Kluyveromyces lactis: one gene and its partner. The protein of the gene in region 1 interacts with the protein of each later gene in a pairwise test. Links are inferred from orthologs where the notes say so. Each region holds a gene or a part of one and is shown in the gene's direction. Other genes may lie near its edges. The genes, in order: SCS22 and OSH3.

Evidence for each region.
Region 2: the proteins of SCS22 (region 1) and OSH3 interact in a protein complementation assay, tested with the Saccharomyces cerevisiae proteins (2 studies listed by BioGRID). The link is inferred for Kluyveromyces lactis from reciprocal best matches to the Saccharomyces cerevisiae genes SCS2 and OSH3.

The regions. Positions count from the first base shown.
Region 1 is NC_006041.1:623,259-626,349, reverse strand, and holds SCS22 (phospholipid metabolism-regulating protein SCS22), read left to right. Parts: upstream 1-1,518; coding exon 1,519-2,343; downstream 2,344-3,091. Other genes in the region: MAP2 (methionine aminopeptidase), read left to right, coding at 1-742. UniProt on the Saccharomyces cerevisiae protein: Acts as an endoplasmic reticulum (ER) membrane anchor for cytoplasmic proteins via binding to the FFAT motif of targeted proteins. Regulates phospholipid biosynthesis by modulating the subcellular localization of the transcriptional repressor OPI1.
Region 2 is NC_006039.1:1,465,464-1,469,808, forward strand, and holds the start of OSH3 (oxysterol-binding protein related protein OSH3), read left to right. Parts: upstream 1-1,519; coding exon 1,520-4,345. Other genes in the region: snoRNP complex protein NOP10, read left to right, coding at 351-524; DAD4 (Dad4p), read right to left, coding at 746-964. UniProt on the Saccharomyces cerevisiae protein: Lipid transport protein (LTP) involved in non-vesicular transfer of lipids between membranes.

The DNA.
Region 1 (3,091 bases):
TTTCACTCCTAATGCTGGTGACAAGACCGTGTTGAAGTTCGAGGATGTAATGAAAGTTGATTTCGGTGTCCATGTTAATGGTTATATCATCGATTCTGCGTTTACTATTGCATTCGATCCACAATACGATAATTTGTTGGCTGCTGTGAAGGATGCAACCAATACTGGTATTAAAGAGGCAGGTATCGACGTTAGGTTGACTGATATCGGTGAAGCTATTCAAGAAGTGATGGAATCGTACGAAGTGGAAATTAACGGTGAGACACACCAAGTGAAACCATGCAGGAATTTGTGCGGCCACAACATTAATCCTTATTCGATTCATGGGGGTAAATCTGTGCCAATTGTCAAGAACGGTGACAACACAAAGATGGAAGAAAACGAACATTTCGCTATCGAAACTTTCGGGAGTACCGGTCGTGGGTATGTTATACAAGAGGGAGAATGCTCTCATTATGCTAAGAAACCCGGTTCACATCCAACACCATCCCTATCGAGTGCCAAGAATCTATTAAAGGTTATTGATGAAAATTTTGGAACTATACCGTTCTGTCGTCGTTACTTGGATAGATTGGGCGAAGACAAGCACGTATACGCTTTGAACACATTGGTGAGGCAAGGTATTGTAGAAGACTACCCACCATTGAACGATATTAAGGGCTCATATACGGCTCAATTCGAACACACCCTTATCCTACATCCTCACAAGAAGGAAATTGTCTCTCGTGGTGACGACTATTGAAAGATACCATAAGACTTGTCGTAGTCAATACATAACAAACGCTACAACATATGCATATCTAGGTAAATTCAGTTTCGTTTAAATAGAATATAAAGTATAAAAGAACTGAAATCAAACCGTGCACTGTTGGTACCTCAAAAGATGCTTAATGCTCTTAGTGAGAGGGAAGTCTGTGTCGACTGCTCGCTGCATGATAATTACGTAACGAGGTTCAGTGCCCATTTCATTTGTTGTGGTTACCCTCACACATAAATACCCGAATTTGACATTTTGCAAACAAAGAAAAGTTGAACTAAGCGATTACAATTAAGAACAGAGAGACTTAGTTTTTGGCAGGATTTACAGTGATCGGTTCCTAGGTTAATTGTTCGAAGATTATCAGGTACGGTTATCTAATTCGTTTATCTTTCTATTTGGGATTTGTTATTTCGTTAGATTCGGGAAGTCTATTAGTTTTCCAGCTCTAACACAAGTGTGTATAAACTGTTTCTCACTATTATAAGTTTACAATGGTTGAAATTACTCCAAGTGTATTGGAATACAAACGTATGTGTCGCTTTGAGCAGTGGTTTAAAGGGATTAAAAACCACTTTACTATATGATCAGTTACAAAATATGGTGTTTAGCATTTGAAAGTGTACTTCGTGTGGTCAAATGTGTGGCCATATTGGCTCACTTTTCTTGCATGAGAGACAAATAATGGGATGAATACTTAGAAGGATTACAGGGATTCTGATAGATGTTCCATATCCTCAACCACATGGAATTATTCTCCGATGCTTAGATACTCAATATTATGTTTCTGTTATTATGCATTCGATATACTAACAAGCTTCCAAATCATTATTTCAATGTTTAATGGGATCATTTTTGCGATTCCATTATTCAATGTGATTTACCTCTCTGTTTTCGTAATAGCACCTTTCACTAGCCAAGCAGCTGAGCATATTACCATCAAGAATGACTCAGAACAAACAATTGCCTTTAAGGTGAAGACCACAGCTCCTAAGGTATACTGTGTAAGACCTAATGCCGCTTTGGTGCCAGCCGGTGAAAGCGTTGATGTTCAAGTGATTCTTTTAGGATTGAAGGAAGAACCTACACCAGATTTCAAATGTAAAGATAAATTCTTGGTTATAGCTTTGCCAGCTCCTTACGATTTAGGTGAACTGAGTGTGGCCGAAGCTTGGCCTCAATTGGAAGCAGAGTTCAAGAACAAGGGCCTGTCAAAGAAGATTAAGGTAAATTATCAACTAGATGCTGAACCAAGAGTCGTGGAAAATCTAGAAACTGATAACGTGCAAACTGAGACTGTCATTCCTTCAGCCAAGGAAACTATTGCTAGTGGTTCGAAAGCTACAGAAGAGTCCGCTAGTGAACCGGTACAAAAGAAATCTGTCCCGGTTGCATCTGCCAATACTGACCTGGATACTGAAAAGCCAAAAGTTGTGGAAAGTGAACCAAAGCTCGATGAAAAGGTCAAATCTGATACCAGCGCTAACACTGAAATTATTGCAGAACCCGCTAGTACGTCGAATATTGCACCGGCCGTGGTCATTTGGATCGTTATAGGTTTCTTACTTTGGTATTGGTTATCTTAGGATACATTCTGATTAAGTGAGGGAACTATCAACCATCGTATAATATATGACAACATATTTCTCGACTTTGATAGAAATGTTGTTATGAATTATATTCGTATTTCTTTTCTTATCTACGTCTGTTTCTTTTGTTTTAATTACCCCCGTACTTTTTAACCTGTTTGTTCTTTTCTTTGCAGGATTTCTTCATGCGGCTAAAATCATTCTTCATTATTGTTATTGTATTATCATTACAGCCATTAGTACTATGTTTTCCCCTAGCCAAGACATTGACAAGATATTTGAGTTAGTATTGAAATTGTTCATCTTGTGACACAGCTGTTCTTTTCATCGTTGTTTCGTTGAAACAACTCATTGAAAACAAAGGGAGACGAAAGATATTGAACTAATTCTCCTTCAAATTGATCCCAATATACTCAGCAACCGTCATTGATACTTTTCTTTCTGGCTCTTTTTACATCCTTTTTTTTTCTTCTGTTTATAGAGGCTCTTTTGGCAACTGTCCTATATTCAATTTGTCGCATGCCATCAAATGATTTCTCAATTGCAATGAGCTGGACAAGGTACTATTTGGCACAATACCACCGACCCTTGTCTTTAACTAGCTACAGGTACAACGATATCCACTGAATACATGAAGTATATATATTTGTAATTCCAATCACATCGATACGATGTCAGCACTCAACTCTGCGTGGAAAGTCCAACTATTAGTGAGTAAAAATGCACGCTTGATGCCGTCGTCAAA
Region 2 (4,345 bases), on another chromosome or scaffold:
ACACACAGGTCACGTGAACACCCGATTACAAAAGTTTATCAATCAATCGATCATTGGAACCGATCCAGCCTCCTTCGTTTTACACGTGACTAGAAAAAGATAATCAAAACACATATCGCTACTTACGTTAGAGAATATATCATCAGATCACATGATACGAACTGGAATATTTCTTTTCCATCAAGTGCATCTGCTAAATTTTCAAAGAGATATAATCAGTTTTTCAACATAGCATTAACTAACTGATCGGTATAGCTCATCGCTTGAAAGAAAGTGTCTTGTTATCCATATATCTAGTTCCTTTTCACTTCCAACCAAAAGCATCTATCACACTCTACCCACTACCCACTATGCATTTGATGTACACTTTGGATGCCCAAGGCAAGAGAATCTATACTTTGAAGAAGATGACTGAGGATAATGAAATTACAAAGTCTGCTCACCCTGCTAGATTCTCTCCAGATGACAAATACTCCAGACAAAGAGTTACTTTGAAGAAGAGATACAACCTTTTGCCAAACTAAGGTCCCTACAAGTTGGAACACAATCCGCAGACAAAATTGCACCGGTTAAAACTCACTGAACATGAACAAAAAAAATTAATCCATTATTATCTGTAAATTAGAATCAGTACGGTCCTGAAACCGACTATAAAAAGGCGTATGTATATACGTACATACTACATCACTTAAGTAACTGCTTTTTTTTTTTAATAAATTCTTCTCGTTAGAATATATGTGAGACCTTACAATGGGTCCTGTTTCTTGGAAGTTGCCTGCAACTGGAAATCAACAGATTCTCTATAGTTCTCACACATTTGTGACATCAGTTCCAAATTCTTATTCTTGGTGTTTACCCTTCGAAGCTCTTGGTTTAGTATCACTACACTCTGGTTCAACCTTTCGACATTGCCAATGATTCTAGCCAGAATATTGCTTTGAACTTTCTCATACGGGTTTTCCATGGTATGTATCACAAATATAACTGATGACGGATAGTTATACACCAGTTTTGTAGCCTCTAGTGCCTGTGTTTTCCTTGTGGTTTACATTTTTGACCGATGTTTTGCATTTGAATACATGTTGGATGCTATTATAAACCTTTTTTTTTTTTTTTTTAAATGATGAAAATTAGTACCTGCCCCAAAGCAGCTTCTCAGTGAAAATGAATTAAAAAAAAGCTTGAGTATAATAAACTAAACCTTTAATTTGAAGTAAACAAGGATCCAAATTTCATCTATAACAGACTTCTAGTGTGCGTTTCGAGCTTTTGGCGGGCATCATATATCAATTTGGTGATAATTGCTGGTAACGGATATTGTCAGTTAAATTTCACCTGTGAATAATTACCATTCTTACTGCGTGCCTATCAGGTGTTTGTTGATCTTTTCCCCTGGTTAATCTCTCTTATTCAGAATTGATTTTTCAGCGAATAACCGACCGATAAAGGTAGATTGGAACGTCTACTTAGTTTCGAGAGTGATTCAATTGTAACTATTAAATTTTTTTCGGCATCAAACATGGATACTATTGACGTTCAAAATAAATCATTTGTTGTGCGTTGGCAGAAAGTTTCTCAAGGTGATATAGTTTCGTTTCGGTTGAAACCTTTGAAAAAATCGATAGGGTTTGGTATATACAGACGGTTTGGTGGATCATCCACGACTGATTTGAGTGAAACAAACCATGGGAGTGTAAAAGCTTCTTCGAATAGTAATACTAATCCGTTAATTCGAATTTCAACCGATGCCAAGCCTAACGTTGCCTTGGCAGATCACGAAAAGGACAAAAACGTGCCGTTGCAAACAAGGTTAGCACAAAGCGGTCTGGAAAAGGTGACCTGGTATGGGACCATTTCTAACAACGATACCGTTGCCGAATCGTTCGAATCAACTTGTGAGAGTTGTTATTACGCGTTCATTTTAGACAATACTACTTCGAAGCAGACTAAGAAAAAATGTTTATTTTCGGTGAGTATCAACCCTAGTGCATCGGCAATGGAAGGTTTGGATGACGATCAGGAATCCGTCATTTCAAACCAAGAGGAAAGCTTTGGTGCCAATGGGACGAATGGCAAGCGACCTTTGAATTATAGCCAAACGTCATTCAAGGATCCATCTTTGTCCTCATTAGCAAAATCGAATTCCAATCCATTTGCGCCATCTCCAGGCCAGACTACTCCAAGCACAATTTCCAACGTGGGTACATCTAACGGACCAAACACTAATTCTCCAGTGCCAATAAAACCACTGAGTCCAAGTTCTACATCCGCGACAGATCACGATTTGAAAAACAGTAAAGGATTCCAAGGATATTTACTAAAAAAGAAGAGAAAGAAGCTACAAGGTTTTACCAAACGGTTCTTTAAACTCGATATAAAATTTGGGATTCTCTCATATTATCTCAACTCTAAATCTCCTGTGTGTCGTGGTGAGATTGTTGTCCCACTTTCATCAATAAGTGCAAATAAGCAAACTAAACTTATTATCATTGACTCAGGCATGGAGATCTGGGTCATGAAAGCTCGTGACGAAAAAGATTGGGAACTTTGGATTTCAATGATCGAGTCATGTTTCAAACAAGACGCCCCAACTACTTCGCAAGATCACGAATCGCATAACGTTGTCATTCCTCCTGATAATGATACCACAGCATTTTTCCGCAATTTAACATCCCTAAGGAAAAGAATAGAAGAATGCAAGTATCAATCTTTATCCTATTCTAACTACACACCTAACGCAATAGTATCTCCCATTCAGGGCCCTCCGACATCTTCAAAGCAACAGAGGAATGTGTCACGGTCCTCGTCTGTTTCTTCATTCATGAACTCCTTTTCTAGGCAACGGAACGGTTCATTTGTAGAACAAGCTACCTCAGGCCATGATACTTCGATCTTATCTAATAATCCCAACGAGCCTCAACATCATGACTTATATAGAAAGCTAGCTGATTTGGAGAAAATTGCCAAGCAACTTGATATTGATGGTAAGATGTTAGCTACTAAATGGGTTCCCAGATCGCCAACTGCTTCCATCTTTTCAGATGACGAATATTTCGATGCAAATGAAGAACCTATCATCACGATGTTAAATGACGATGTGGCCTTTGAAACCGATATCAGACCAATATACAGCTCTTATAATGACGAGGATGAAGAGGAGGAAGGCGAAGGAGAGGAGGAAGAAGAAGCTGAAGAAGAAGAGGAGGAGGAAGAAGATGAAATGACAACAACAACAACAACAACACCAACTAGTAATGAATTAATGACATCAACAGATAGAAAGACTATAGAAACAGCAACATCGAGATCTCAAGATCTATCACCATTACCAATCAACAAAACTATAAAGCGCAGAAACGATATCGCAATACCAGTATCAACCCCACCAAGTTTATTAGGATTCTTACGGAAAAATGTCGGTAAGGATCTATCCAGCATTTCAATGCCGATCAGTTTAAACGAACCCGTATCTATCTTACAAGTGCTATCCGAGGCATTCGAATACAGTTGGCTTTTAAGCAAAGCTGCCACAATGGAAGACGACGAAGTTCAAAGGTTGAAATACATCAGTGCATTTGCACTGTCATACATGTCCATTCACAGACAAAAGACAAGATCACTACGGAAGCCATTCACCCCATTGTTGGGTGAAACGTATGAACTAGTACGTGAGGATATGGGTATCCGATTAGTTTCAGAAAAAGTGTGCCATAAACCACCTATTTTTGCATTTTACACAGAACACAGGGATTGGAAATGCTCATACACCGTAACACCGGTTCAGAAATTCTGGGGGAAATCCATCGAATTTACCAACGAGGGAGTATTCGAACTAACTTTCAACAACATCGATGCTAAATACAGATGGTCCCAACCTACCATCGTATTGAAAAACATCATTGCTGGTGAAAGGTACATGGAACCCAGTAACCAGTTCTCAATATCAACGTCTACGAATCTCAAATCCATCATTGCATTCAAAGCTGGAGGCATGTTCAGTGGAAGATCCGAAGACGTCGACGTGAGTCTTGTCAACGAGAAGGGCCAAAAGCTTGGATCCCTCAAGGGACAGTGGACCAAAGAGGTCCGAGATCTCGATAACGGCCAACAAATTTGGAAATGCGGACCGTTAGTGGAAAACAGTGAAAAGAAATACGGATTCACCGTTTTTACCTCCAACTTGAACGAGATCACAGAGACAGAAAAGGATCATTTACCACCAACTGATTCCCGGTTGAGACCCGATATTCGCCTGTATGAAAACGGTATCATTACAGAGGCTGAACAAATGAAGCTGTCACTGGAACAAAAGCAACGTGAAAGAAGAGATAAGGGCGAAGACGCA